Linked DNA regions of Canis lupus familiaris. The protein of the gene in region 1 binds, or shares a complex with, the protein of each later gene. Links are inferred from orthologs where the notes say so. Each region holds a gene or a part of one and is shown in the gene's direction. Other genes may lie near its edges.

Region 1 (7,686 bases):
CAGAACCTAGTGAGACTGCCACATGTAGATCTGATTGACAACTTCCCAGCTCCAGAATTTGTGATTTGTCTGTATATCCAGTGTCAATCATGTTCCTGGGTACAGACTCATGGTAATCTAACTCTGAGTAGAATGACACATAGGTCAGATATAAATTGACTTCATTTACTGTGGAAGTATATGCCCTTCCGATGATGGAAATACCACCCTGAGGGCGCCCATTCCCGCCACAGAGGAGTTTAGGAGGCTCAGTTGTGGATCACATTTGGTGACCAGGCAATCAGTTAAGTGAGTCGGTTCAAAAGGAGCAAACAATATGAAATACGTGTCTGAAGCTCAGAGGAGACCATGTGAGTCTGACCTAGAGAAACATAAAATACTAGAACAGTATCTATCACATGGAAACTGCTCAGTCATCATTAGGCCACACATCAATGGCCTCTGACAAAGGAGTCATATTGCCAAATATTGGCCTTTGACACACAAACAGTGCTGCACAAGACTGCCAGACCCTCGTCAGGTTTTCAGAACAGGTCAGTGAGCCTGTGGCATAGAGGCGAGTGTTCCAGTGGCCTTACCTTATCATCATTAAATATTTGACTTGTGCAGTTGATAGCTATTCTTTTGCTTCCATGCTCACCATAAATCCCCTGGTGATAATTTGGCTTTCCACATGTCCTGCCTGACACGGAGGGAATGTGCTAGCCTGCGGATTTGAGGTTCCTGTGCCACCAGCATTATATTTCTAGTAAATTAATAAACTGGCAACCTGGGCTATAATTTGGGTTTTTGTGTGGCATGAGAATGTGCTTACCCTGGGATATGAGACTATGATACCCTTGGTCGCTGTACTTCTCACTACAAGGGAGTAGGCTGGCATGTAGTGCTAATAGCAAGTCTCATGAGATTGATTAGAACGAGTGCATCCTTGAGAAGCATAACTGGAGTTGGTTTGTTGACACTATCAGGTTTCACTGCGAGGGCTGCAGTCAAGGGCAGTGAAATGGCACCATCTCCCAGAGTGCCATCCTCTTGCCATGTCCTGGGAGACAGACTTTCTTTCTCTTGGAATGCTCCCACACAACCTTGGCCCTAGCATTTGACAGCCCCTGTGTATTACAAGAATCGTTTACGAAAATAGTTTGAGAAACTATGTCAAAACCATAAAATTTTAGCCATCCGTTGGCCTAGTAATTGTCTCTAGTCAGAATGTCTCCTAAAGAAATAATCCAGGGGATCCCCGGGTGGCTCAGCGATTTAGCACCTGCCTTCGGCCTAAGGCGTGATCCTGGAGTCCTGGGATCAAGTCCCACATCTGGCTCCCAGTATGGAGCCTGCTTCTCCTTATTCCTGTGTCTCTGCCTCTCTCTCTCTCTCTCTCTCTCTCTCTCTCTCTCTCTCTGCATCTCTCATGAATAAATAAAATCTAAAAAAAAGAAAGAAAGAAAAAGAAAGAAAGAATGAATGCAAATTATGTGAGGGGCTATCCACATGAAGATGGGCATCTTCACTCATCTTTACCTCGTGAAGATTGGGCATCTATAATCACCCAAAATTACAAGCATTCCATACATCCACGGGGTAGAGAAGTAGTTATGTAAGCTACTATATGTATTAATTTAATTACAGCCACTACAAAGGACAAAGGTTGGGATCCCTGGGTAGCGCAGTGGTTTGGCGCCTGCCTTTGGCCCAGGGCGCGATCCGGGAGACCCTGGAATGAATCCCACATCGGGCTCCCAGTGCATGGAGCCTGCTTCTCCCTCTGCCTGTGTCTCTGCCTCTCTCTCTCTCTCTGTGTGACTATCGTAAATAAATAAAAATTAAAAAAAAAAAAGGACAAAGGTTGTGACAATGTGGGAAAGTGTTCATGGTTAATACAGCATGAAAAATATCAGTATATGTAATATTCAAATAAAGGGTTATTATACTTAAACTAAGATTGTAAGTATTAGAAATTATATTTTTTTAATTGGAAAACTATAAAAACACTAGAAAAGAGTATTTAAAAATAGTTATGAGAGTGGTAGCATAAGGATCTTTGTAAGACCTAATACCCATCCTGGCTACTTGATGGTCTGGAGCCCGTTCTCTTGTGTTCTGTTCCCAGTCATCACCAGCAGGCAGCTGTGGTGGCAGAACTTACGTACGCAGCCAGGGGGAGCCCAAGGGCAGGGAATCCTCTGCACACCAGCTGGCCTCCTGGTTGTGGTCCCAGCAAAGATTTTATCTTGGCTCTGCCACAGCCAGCTATCCTAGACTATGGGAAGCACTAGACCTCTGAGCTGTGGGCTTCATCCTCCATCCCGGGCACACCTTTGGATTCTTGTTAATGAGCAAAAGCCAGAAAACAGAAGTGACCATCAATGAGGTGTTTGCTAAATAGTCAAACCAAGAGCTCAGCTGTGCCATCTGCCTGGAGTCGTTCCCTTCTCTAATTTTGAAAACGAGCAGTGGACTTTGCCAAAATGAGTAGTAACGTGATCCCATCCCTCCTCAGGAAAATATGTCTGCCCAGGTCAAAACTCACAACTGTTCTAAAGCAAAAGGAGAGAGACAGAAAGTGACCATGTGAACAATTTGACAGCACGGATTGCCTTCTGGGAAATGTTGATACTTTTTCATAATTGCCCTCAAAATGAGGACAGGACTCCAATGGATTTGGTGATAGCCACTAAAGATTTCTGAAGGGATTATGTTTAGAGATGGGGCCTTAAGAAGAGAACCAGCTGGGATGCCTGGGTGGCTCAGTGGTTGAGCATTTGCCTTTGGCTCAGGGTGTGATCCCGGGATTCCAGGATCGAGTCCCACATCGGGCTCCCTGCATGGAGCCTGCTTCTCTCTCGCCTGTGTCTCTGCCTCTCTTTCTCTCATGAATAAATAAATAAAATCTTTGAGGGGGGGGAAAAAGGAAGAAAACCAGCACAGTCTTTCCTTGGACCCCATGCTTTTCTTCCTCAGGGACTGTACACTCAGGTAGTAACCCAGGTCTGCAGTGACTGGGCTCTTATTTTCTGTTTTGTTCCTAGGGTTCTCAGAAGCGAGCTATCACCACCCCAGAAACACCCCTAACAAAAAGGACCATGTCTACTCGGAGTCCCCATCAACTCCTCTCGCCTTCAAGTTTCTCTCCAAGGTATGGATCTGCATGAATCCAGCTGCCAGACGGCAGGCCTGCTTTCCCCTTTCTGTGGTGGTCAGGTGGCTGACCCCGCAGTGTGACAGTCTCCATGCAGGTGCCTCTGCGGTGCCTGCCTCCAGAGCCTCTTGCTCTCTGCCCTCCCTCCCTACCTTCTCCTGTGTGGAAAATCCCCATGTTTTGCAGCAGTTAAGGAAACTCATTTTCCACCCAGTTTTCTGGGGTTCATTTCCTAGATCAGGAACTGATATCTTCTCTAGAAAACAACCTGTCTATTCACAAGTCTGGGAGTCTCAGGAGTCTTGCCAGTAGAGACAAATAGGTTTCTGCCTGCCTCTGGTAGTTTGGTGTTGTTGGGTTTCTTCCCTTCTTCCTCCCCCTTTTCACCAACGGTATCTATTTTTCAGAAAGTAAAGCACGTACCTGTGTTCATCATGTCATGTAACCTGTTTATTGTCCCTCTCTCAGGTTACAACTAGTTTCTGAGAGTTGGCAAGTCACTGTGAATCTACAAAGACTTAATTGGCATTTTTTCCCTGCTGCCACTTCTGCCCATAAATCCACAAAGATCACCGGTGATGTTTTTTTGAAATCCATAAATGACATGTCTTCTGTTAGAGAATTCCATGGGTGAGGGCCCTGCCGAGTAGAAGAAAGGTTTGGTGCTGCCACACCAGGATGAGGCTAAGGAACTGTCAGCATTAACCATTTAGGGATATGCTACCAGGAGTCACTGCCTATATTGTGGGCCACTTCTAGACGAAGCAGAGCTTTAGATTTCCCAGCTTTGTCACTGTAGAAAGGAGGGGATAGCAGTCATACCATACAAGTGGTCGTGGGATTCAGAAGGACGGGTTTCTCTAGCTTGGTCCCCTGCTACTTTGGGGAGCTTTCAGACTGGTTTTGGAAGCGAGCTTTCCAGACATAGGAGGGCATCTTTGAAACTGGATGGGTAGAGGATGGTTCTCATCCCCTGAACCAGCGCCATTCCAGAAACTTCATTTCACTAAAGGGCCGGCCGTCTTAGCTGTCCCATGGAGCTGCTTTGGGAGGAGCTCAGAGAAGTCGCAGTATGCTGCCTAGGCACTTTTTAATGCACGCTAATAAAGCTGACATCAGAAACTGGTTTTGTAATTTATGAAAGTAACTTCTAAATTATTCAGGTAGAGGCAGCACTGGAGATGGAGATCATTAGTGGAGCTCATTTTCCGCAGCCTCTGTGGACAGGAGAGGTGATGGCACCAGTGGCAGTACTGCCCACATAAAACTCGTTCCTGCAGACTCCCAGTGCACAAAGTGCAGACTGTTTGGAGGAGACCTCTCTGTAAGCGACATCCACAGCCAGAGGATGAGGTGCCCTCACTACCTTCCTAGGAGCTCAGCGACGTTCATGGGTCCCTATTGACCAGTCAGTGCATGGAAATACAAGAACTTGTCAGTTGAGCCTTGGAGAATGGGAATGTTTGTTCACCAGCCAACTGAATTCATTCCATCTCCACCTCCACAGACACTGGGAAAAGTTGATTAATTGTTCTTAACTTCATTTTATTGTGTCTACCTTGAACTATATTGTTAAGTATTATAGATCCACAGCAGCTTTGGGCTTATCCACAGCCAGGCTCTCATGTTATTCTAATAAATGGTATAAAAAAAAAAAAAATCATCAGAGAGGCGCCTGGGTGGCTGAGTCAGTTAAGCATCTGCCTTAAACTCAGGTCATGATCCCGAGAACCTAGGATCGAGCCCCTCTCCCCCTGCCCTTCCCCCTCTCGTGTTCTCTCTTTCTCTTTCTCTCTCTCAAATAAATAATCTTTAAAAAATTTATAAGAAAGAAAAGAAAGTGGAACTTGAAACTTTTTAATCCATTCAGTTTGGTTTGGTTTTGCTTTGTTTAGTTGTAAGCCAGGAGAAAGCCGTTTAAAATATGTCTCTGTCTCTAAACTTAAACTCATTCCTGAAATTCCTTAAAGGTTGGTATGTCCAGCCCCATTAAGTTGATTAGATTTATAAAATGTGAGGCCAGCTTGACATTCCTCCAATCCCCATTTCTAAAAGGTAACCTTATTTTATTCCCCTCTCTCATTAGATAGGAATACAGTAATGCTTATATGTTTTGCTTCCAATCAGTGCTACTCCCTCTCAGAAATACAGCTCAAGAAATAACCGAGGAGAAGTGGTTATCTCCTTTGGCTCAGCACAGGGAGTGTCTTGGTCTGGAAGAGGAAGGGCCAGCAACATCAGCCTGAAGGTCCTAGGGTGTCCAGAATCACTAACTGGGAGCTACAAATCAATGTTTCAGAAACTTCCAGATATCCGAGACGGTAATTGTTTTTCTTTTTGCAACTCTGGAGAATATAAAACTACCTAGAAAGGTCTAGAGTGAGTAACAAAGCTTCAGCTAGGCTGGTACAACAAGTTCCAAGGTTGCCTTTGAATACAGAGTTGGTAGATGTCCTCCAGATGCCCCTAGAAGTGGAAGGACATGAGGTGACCCTCTCAGTAATTCTACCAAGTCACTTTGCTTCCCTAAAGAAAAAGCGCAGAACATTTTCCAGTGACAACCATTTGAACTGTGTAAAAGAAGCCAAATAAAGTCAAAGACATTTTTGGTTTCTTCCTTGTAAAGAATGGAAGATTCTCTAGATTGGACTTGACTCCCCCTAAACCTCACTGATGACCGGAGTAAAGGGAAGGCTGGGCTGTGGGCATCTGTGCTGACTCTAGGAGATTGTGCCCCATGATCCATGGCCAAATGGAAAGCCAGCTCCCACAACCAAATATTGGTAGATTGGCTAGGGCTTTAGAAAGTGGTCCTGGGCACCCTCCTGCTTCTGTAAAATGACTGATTGCAGTATTTTACAATGCACTGTATCTTCTCCTCTTGGCAAGTGAAATGTTCTAAACATAGTACTTTTTCTCCTCTGGGCTTTCAGTTCTGACCTGTAAGATAGAGGAGCTTGGCAGCGAACTGAAGGAACATTACAAGATTGAGGCTTTTACTCCTGTTCTGGTCCCAGCTCAGGTAAGAATTGTTCTCATAGTCCTTCCTAATTAATTTTGTATTTTTAAACTGATGGTAAAAAAAAAGGTATCCTTGCTTCGTTTTTCATTTCTTGTCTTCATTCTAGTGAGAATATCTATCTTGGTCAAATTTTGTAAAATGGATCCTTCTGAAGAAAGACTTAGAAGTGCTCTCTGGTTTTGTGATCAGAGATGACCATTTTCTTTGCATATTTTTTTTAAGATTCTATTTATTCATGAGAGAGAGAGAGGTAGAGACATAGGCAGAGGGAGAAGCAGGCTCCATGCAGGGAGTCCAACGTGGGACTCGATCCCAGGACTCTAAGATCATGCCCTGAGCCAAAGGCAGACACTTAACCACTGAGCCACCCAGGCATCCCTTCTTGGCATTTGGATTAGGGTCTTGCACATAGCAGAGACTGAGGCGAGACAGGTAACTCCCTAGAGATGCTCTACAAATAGAAGCGTTTGGTTACCAGGATATGAGGACAACAGCAAGCGTAGGGCTTCCAAAAACAGTGACTCATAGTCTCTCCCCCAGTTTGGTTTCTGTCCTTTATAGATCAACTGTTGCCAGTAGTATCTTTAATTGTAGTTTAATCTGGCATATGTTCCAGTGCTTTCTCCCTGAAACATTTTTCTAATCCAAAGGGAAATGTGTTCTAGAAGATTCCTTAAGTTACCTCTGTCATTGTTTACATTCAGAGAAGATTCACCATAGGCAAAACCATGTCATGTAAGGAAGTTTATGAGGAATTGGGAAGAAATGGTGGAGTGGAGGCAGGGATGTTCAGTCTTGTGGGAAAAGATTAGACTTCCTCAGTCTGCCCCCAGGAGTGGGAACAGGATAGAGGAAGCCACAGGGAAAGAACTTTCAGCTCAATTTAAAGAACTTCCTGTTAAGAGACAATATGACGTGTAGTTAAGAATATGGCTCTGGAACCAAACTTCAAACCCAGACTTCACCCAGTCTCTGACCTTAACTAAATTATGTAACCTGTTGCTGATTTTTCTTTCATAAAATGGGTACAATAGTAGTATCCAACTCACTGTTGTTATGAAGATTAGACAAGTTTACACACATAAGTCTTTAGAACAGTGCCTGGTACTCAGCTCAATAGACGTGAGCTATTGATGGTTAAAACTATCCAGAGATGCAGTGGGCTGCCTTGGATTACAAGGACCTAGTTTCCCTTCACTAGAGATGCCCAAGTTTAGATGACCACTTAGAAAGGCTCAAGCACCTGGTGGGCAGGCAGACCAGATGCCCTGAGTCCCTGATGGTACTTGTCAATATGTCATTATGATGCCCCACCAAAAAAACCTTTCCTGCTTGGGGTTTGCTATGCTGTTCGTTCTGTCGACTCCAGATTTTGAGCTCCTATCCCAAAGACGGTCATTCTCATGTCATACCTTCGGCAGGAGCCTGTCATTCTGCTGGGCCAGATTGGCTGTGATACCAATGGGAAGCTGAATAGCAAGTCAGTGATTCTTGAGGGAGACCGGGAACATTCCTCAGGGGCCCA
Region 2 (7,686 bases), on another chromosome or scaffold:
TAGAGGAACTTAGAAATCACAGAACAACAGCTCTTGTACAGATGAGAAAACATTTGTCCAAGAGGTTAATGTGACTTGTCTTAAAATAAATTGTGTCAGAGCTAGGAACAGAATTCAGTTCTTAAAACTCAAAGTTCTGTGCTTTGCCCACTATGCCTCCTCCCTCAGTTCTTTTTCCACAGTTTTAGCGTTCTTCCTTCACATTTCTCTTAAATATGTTTTGATAGACTGAAACTGACTTTAAAATAAATATAAAAGGTGCTATATTGATATAAACTTTGCATCATCCACCCAGGAAACATACATAGTTGTATATAGTTGTCCTTTTTAGCATCAATAATCCAACTCTGTCACTCGTGTGGGATGTTAGGCAAATTTCTCTCTGTGCCTTGGTTTTCTCATCTGTAAATGGAGATAATATAGTACCTACCTACCTCCATGGATTTTTTTTTTTAATTTTTATTTATTTATGATAGTCACACAGAGATAGAGAGAGAGAGAGGCAGAGACATAGGTAGAAGGAGAAGCAGGCTCCATGCACCGGGAGCCCGACGTGGGATTCGATCCTGGGTCTCCAGGATCGCGCCCTGGGCCAAAGGCAGGCGCTAAACCACTGCGCCACCCAGGGATCCCTTATGAAGATCTAAAATGTAAAGTGCTCGGAAAAAGTGTCACACATTCAATTCTCCCAACTTGCCTAGTTTCCTTTAATGATCTGTAATGATTCTCTAGTCCATATATTAGAATAAGCCCCTTTCCAAACTTATCAACTATGTGTTTTCAGCTTCTTTTGGTAATAAGCTTAATATTTCTTTTTTTAAATTTTTTATTTAAATTCAATTAATTAACATATAGTATATGATTAGTTTCAGAGTAGAGTTCAGTGATTTATAAATTCCATATAACACCTAGTGCTCATTATATATTTGTTAATTTTTTTTAAAGATTTTATTTATTTATTCATGAGAGACAGAGAGAGGATGAGAGGCAGAGACACAGGCAGAGGGAGAAGCAGGCTGTCTGTAGGAGCCTGATGTGGGACTCGATCCCTGGAATCAGGCCCTGGTCAAAGGCAGACGCTCAACCACTGAGCCATCCAGGCGTCCCTATATTTGTTAATATTTATTAAACCTAATTCTAGAGCTTTAGTGGGTATCCCCTTATTCTAATATCCAGGGTTTGGGTAAATAATGATGTTCATATGTATGTACATTTTGATTATATCGTTTTCCCATTAAGCAGCTGCAGTCTTCAAGCAGCAACTCTCAATTCTCCTAATTATTTTACTTGCTATTTACTTGGCATCTTTTAGATTCATTATCTCATTTCTGCGATGTGATGAATTTTATGAGGTGTTCCCAGGTGTGGATATTATGAAATGGTAGTATAATGCTGTCGACTTTATCTCTAAAATGCTTTCCAAAGATGCCCAACATATAGGTGTCTGTTCTGATCTCACCAAATAAACCAAGTTAATGAAATGAACTATAACTATGTTATTTCATTTTCAGGACTCACTAATTTGATATCATTCTGTACTTATATATAAAAGGATATTAGGAGGAAGGAGATAGAAATAAAAGTAGAGGGATGCCTGGGTGGCTCAGTGCTTGAGCATCTGCCTTTGGCTTGGGTCATGGTCCTGGGTCCTAGGATCAAGTCCTGCATCAGGCTGCCTGCAGGGAGCCTGCTTCTCCTTCTGCCTATGTCTCTGCCTCTCTGTGTCTCTCATTAAAATAAATAAATAAATAAATAAATAAATAAATAGATGATAGATAGATAAGAGCACTAGGTAATAGCTCAACAGTCTTTCATACCTATTTTTTAAGAGAAATTAAAAGCGCAGCTAATGTGTAAGTAATTTCTAACTATTGTTTTTTTTAACAGATGAGTCTAACCCTTTTTCTAAGCCTTAGATTAAAGTTTAGCCAAAATAACACATTAGATTGTATTTTACAATCATCAATTTATAACTTTTGGTTCTTACAGGTCGAATTTCTGTGCCTATTGATTTACAGAAAGTAGATCAGTTTGATCCATTTACTGTTCCAACCATAAGGTATGTTCTAGATTATTGATTTTTTTTTAAATTTGTGATTGTTATTCTAAATTTGAAGTAGATTGAATTAGATCCCTTCCAGAGAGGCAGCTGTTCTGAGGCTATATGATGATGCCCTAGTAGGGCAACATTTCCTAGTGAGTTCCACAGAACACAAGCTGCTCTTCTCTAATAAAAAGATTACAAGTTCAAATAAGTTTGGGAAATAACAACTTAAACAGATAAAACGTTCTTTACTGTAAGATTTCCTAATTTTCATTATGCATGGAAAATTCTAACAAGAGATTGTGATTTTTAGACTATCCCAAATTTAGTTGGTCACATCTTTTTTACAGAAAATCTTGTGGGATTCATGTGCTATCACACACTGGGTAATGTTGACCAAGAACCAACTTTAAAAAATTTTATTCTAGGTTGCCTGGGTGGCTCAGTCACTTAAGGATCCAACTCTTGATCTTAGCTCCAGTCTTGATCCCTGGGTCATAAGTTTAGGCCTCATACTGGGCTCCACACTGAGCATAGAGCCTACTTAAAAAAAAAAATTGGACGCCTGGGTGGCTCAGCAGTTGGGCGTCTGCCTTTGGCTCAGGGAGTGAGGTCCTGGAGTCTTGGGATCAAGTCCCAACATCGGGCTCCGTGCATGGAGCCTGTTTCTCCCTCTGCCTGTGTCTCTGCCTCTCTCATGAATAAATAAATAAAATCTTTTAAAAAATTAGAATTCTCTTATTCTGGGGCACCTGGCTGGCTCAGTGGGTAGGGCATGTGACTCTTGATCTTGGAGTCATGAGTTCAAACCCCACATTAAGTATAGAGTTAAGAAAAAGTTTAAAAAATTATCTTATTCTATTATTTGTAGCTCTATCTGCCATGAATTGGATGCTGTTTCCACTAATGATGAGGGAAAGGAGGGAAACGAAGCTGAATCTGATATCAAACATAGAACCAGAGGTACGTTAATATATTGAAGTCTCATTTTAACATGTTTCTTTTTTTTTTTTTAGCAGTTCTTTTTTTTTTTTTTTTTTAAGATTTTATTTATTTATTCATGATAGACACACAGAGAGAGAGGCAGAGACACAGGCAAAGGGAGAAGCAGACATCATACAAAGAGCCTGACGTGGGACTCGATCCAGGGTCTCCAGGATCACGCCCTGGGCTGCAGGCAGCACTATACCGCTGCGCCACCAGGGCTGCCCTAACATGTTTCTTATATAGACATCCTTCTGTCAGTCGAGTAATTAATTCTCTTTGGATTCAGCCCAGAATGGATCAATATTTATCCTGAAACCACCAAATAATAATATATAATATCATAATATCATGTAACATGATATCATGTTAACAAATAATATCATAGCAATGTCCATTCTTCATCAATTAGCCGGAAGGTGCTGTTGAATCCAATTTAATCAACAGATATTTACCAAGCAACATCTAAATGCCAGGATCTATACTATAAGATTAAATTGTCAATTTGTGTTGATAGTTGTTTGACTCTCACAATCTTAGGTTCAACAGCTACTTATTTAACAACTACTATGTATGCAGTACTTTTGTTCTTTGTTTTTGATGTAGATAGATGAGTGTTATGGTAATATATATCTAAACTGTGGTTGAATTATATATTCAAGATTTTGAAGGAGCTAGGGAATTTATAAATCTTCTGCTAATAGAAGCCAAATCTTTATATAACAACACCCAAGAGACACTCTATAGCCACAAAGCCAATAGAACTTCCTGTGATGATGGAAATTTAATGCACTGCTCAGTGTGGTAGTCACTAGCCACATGTGGCACAATCCACCTGAATTGTGAAAACTGGATTTTCAATTTCATTTCATTTAAAATAGCCACATGTAGCTGGTGACTATTGTAATAGTGCAGATCTGTGATCTCTGACCTTTCTTGGTCAAATGATGCTACCTTCTGTCAAAATCCAAGCTCAAATATCACTCCATTAAAAAAAAAATCATTTCATCTATTCCAGCTCTAACATAATACCTAAACATAGTACATTTCATTATTAATGTTTGTAGAATGATTACAAGCATTCTGTGTAAGGTATTTGAGGGGCACCTGGGTCGCTTATTTGGTTGGGTGTCCCAACTCTTGGTTTTGGCTCAGGTTATGCTCTCAGTCATGGGATCGAGCTGAGTCTGGCTCAGACTGAGCGCAGTGTCTGCTTGTCCCTCTCCCTCTGCCACCACCCCCACACTTTCTCTCTCTCTCTCAAATAAATAAATAAAACCTTTTTAAAAAATAAGTAGTTAGGGGCACCTGAGTGGCTCAGTGGTTAAGCATCTGCCTTTGGCTCAGGTCACGATTCTGGGGTCCTGGGATTGAGTCCTGCATCAGATTCCCCTGCAGGGAGCCCGCTTCTCCCTCTGCCTATGTCTCTGCCTCTGTATGCCTCATGAAAAAATAAATATTTTTTTAATGTAAGTAAATAAAGTATTTAAAAAATGTCTCCAACATGAAAAATCAGAATAAACTGGAAAAAGGCACTCAGAGAAAACAGATAATGCAAGGAATAAAGAAAACCCTTATTTTTTAATTTTTTTTAAAGAGCACGGTCTTTTTTTGGTGTGTCTTTTTTTTTTTTAATTTTTATTTATTTATGATAGTCACACAGAGAGAGAGAGAGAGGCAGAGACATAGGCAGAGGGAGAAGCAGGCTCCATGTACCGGGAGCCTGACGTGGGACTCCATCCTGCGTCTCCAGGATCACACCCTGGGCCAAAGGCAGGCGCTAAACTGCTGCGCCACCCAGGGATCCCGAAAACCCCTATTTTTTTAAGTAATGGGTTAAGTCATCTCTGTGCCCAACATGGGGCTCAAACTCACCACCCAGAGATCAAGAGTCCTATGTTCTAACTGAGCCAGCCAGGTACCCTGAAAACCTTTTTTTAAGAAATTAATATCCTCAGAGGATAAGGGAAGATAGAGTATCCATGAAGCAAGATCAGATGTATCCATCCGGTGCATGGAGCCTGCTTCTCCCTCTGCCTGTGTCTCTGCCTCTCTCTCTCTCTCTGTGTGTGACTATGAAAAGAAACAGAGAACAAAGAGGTCTTAGAAATCAGAAACATAATCCTTAGAATACAAAATTCAGTGGAAGAAAGTAGTACAAAAAAGATAAAGATAAGTTTGTTGTTATTTTAAAGAGGAAAATGATAAAGGAAATCAGAAGAATGGTTCAGGAGGTCTCCTATCTCCTGTTGTTTCAGAAAAATAACAAACAAGGAGGGAAAAAATATCAATTATATAGGAAACCATTGTGAAAATGGGCCCTTTATTGAAAAGGTTCAGCATAAGAAAACAAACCAGCACCAAGGCACATCATTTCGAAATCTCAAAACACTGAGAATTAAGAAAAGAGCTTTCTGACCCCTTCCTACTTGTCCCCACAAAAGCCACAGACCTAAGAATGGCCTCGAATTTCTAAACAATTGAAGTGTTCATTTGCTAGAAGTAGATACTGGAAAAGAAAAAGTGGTTGCCATTCAAGAGGATGGAGAGGTCAGAATTAGAGCAGGAAGCTGCTATTTTTTCCAGCCTGTTAGTATTATTTTATGCATAGATTACTTTAACACAATTTTTTTAATATTAATCTCTTGATAGACATCTTTTTTATTCAGATATTTTAAAGAGAAATTTTCTAATATAACTATTCAAAAATAAACTAAACTATCATTTCAAGTATTCATAAATAGTCAACAGAGGTGCTTTAGAAATGGTGGGGGGTTGGAGTAAGTGATATGTAAGTTCCCTACTATTGTTTTAGTTTCTGTGATTTGAAGCCTTTGTCCTTTTTCATACTAGTACCATTTGTTCCTGCCCTTCTTCCCAAATCCTGGAATATTCTCCTCTCCTCTCATTGTATCTTTTTTTTTTTTCTTTTTTCTTTTTTCTTTTTTTTTTAAGATTTTATTTATTTGAGAGAGAGAGAGAAAGCACAAGCAGAGGGGAGGGGGCAGAAGGAAAGGGAGAAGCAGGAAGCCCAATGCAAGACTCAATCCCAACACCCTAAGATCATGATCCAAGCTGAAGGCAGATATTTAACTGACGAGCCACCCAGGTGCCCCTTCTTTTTCTTCTTTAAATATTTTATTTAGGGACTACCTGGGCGGCTCAGTGGTTGAGCATCTGCCTTTGGCTCAGGGTGTGATCCCAGAGTCCCAGGACAGAGTCCGACATGGGGCTTTCTGCATAGAGCCTGTTTCTCCTCCTCCTCCCAATGTCTCTGCCTCTCTCTGTCTTTCATGAATAAATAAATTCTTTTTAAAAAATAAAGATTTTATTTTTTTTATTATTATTATTTTTTTAGATTTTATTTATTTATTTAAGAGAGAGGGTGCAGGGGATCCCTGGGTGGCGCAGCGGTTTAGTGCCTGCCTTTGGCCCAGGGCGCGATCCTGGAGACCCGGGATTGAGTCCCATGTCGGGCTCCCGGTGCATGGAGCTTGCTTCTCCCTCTGCCTGTGTCTCTGCCTCTCTCTCTCTCTTTCTGTGTGACTATCATAAATAAATAAATAAATAAATAAATAAATAAATAAATAAATAAATAAATAAATAAATAAATAAATAAATAAATAAATAAATAAATAAATAAATAAATAAATAAATAAATAAATAAATAAATAAATAAATAAATATTTAAAAAAAAGAGAGGTTGCAAGCATGAGTTGGGGGAGGGGCAGAGGGAGAGGAAAAGAATCTCAAGCAGATTCTACACAGACCATGGAGCCCGATCCAGGGCTCAGTCATACCACTTAGATAATGACCTGAGTGGAAACCAAGAGTCAGATGCTTAACTGACTGAGCCATCCAGGTGTCCCTAATTCTATTTTTTTTTTTCCTAAGATCCACTTCATAGCCACCTCAGTAACCCTTTACTGATGGATTAGTTGGCCTTATAATTATCAATATGCCTGTTTGGTCTTTTAATTTTATATTGTTTTCTATTACTACATACGGGACTTGTTTTTCCAGTTCATTTAAAAACTTCTTAAAACCAAGGAGTTTGGTGCTCACTTCAGCAGCACATATAGAATTTAGCATAGTACTTAATATGTAATAGGTAGTTAGTAAATATTTAAGTAATTATTGAGTGTCTATTATATATTCCACAATGGTGAAGTAAACATATAGACTTCTTTTTTTTTAAGATTTTATTTATTCATGAGAGACACAGAGAGAAAGAGAGAGGCAGGGACACAGGCAGAGGGAGAAGTAGGCTCCATGCAGGGAGCCCAACATGGAACTCGAACCCAGATCTCCAGGATCACGCCCTGGGCTGAAGGTGGCACTTACCGCTGAGCCACTGGGGTTGTCCTATATGACTTATATACAAGGAGCTTAGAATCTTGAATTAAAGATTCAAAGTTTATGTGGTTGATCCCAAACTAAACTGTTTATTTGTTATACATTTTATTATTAAAAGAAAATTCAGGGGCAGCCCCCGTGGCGCAGCGGTTTAGCGCTGCCTGCAGCCCGGGGCGTGATCCTGGAGACCCGGGATCGAGTCCCGCATCGGGCTCCCTGCATGGTGCCTGCTGCTCCCTCTGCCTGTGTCTCTGCCTCTCTCTCTAGCTGTGTCTCTATGAATAAATAAATAAAAAATCTTT

What was found.
Region 2: POLA2 (region 1) and PRIM1 share a complex: the UniProt entries of both Homo sapiens proteins name them as parts of the alpha DNA polymerase complex. The link is inferred for Canis lupus familiaris from reciprocal best matches to the Homo sapiens genes POLA2 and PRIM1.

The regions. Positions count from the first base shown.
Region 1 is NC_049239.1:52,394,421-52,402,106, reverse strand, and holds part of POLA2 (DNA polymerase alpha subunit B), read left to right. Parts: intron 1-3,029; coding exon 3,030-3,136; intron 3,137-5,266; coding exon 5,267-5,460; intron 5,461-6,072; coding exon 6,073-6,161; intron 6,162-7,582; coding exon 7,583-7,686. UniProt on the Homo sapiens protein: Accessory subunit of the DNA polymerase alpha complex (also known as the alpha DNA polymerase-primase complex) which plays an essential role in the initiation of DNA synthesis.
Region 2 is NC_049231.1:1,311,291-1,318,976, reverse strand, and holds part of PRIM1 (DNA primase small subunit), read left to right. Parts: intron 1-1,989; coding exon 1,990-2,059; intron 2,060-2,915; coding exon 2,916-3,007; intron 3,008-7,686. UniProt on the Homo sapiens protein: Catalytic subunit of the DNA primase complex and component of the DNA polymerase alpha complex (also known as the alpha DNA polymerase-primase complex - primosome/replisome) which play an essential role in the initiation of DNA synthesis.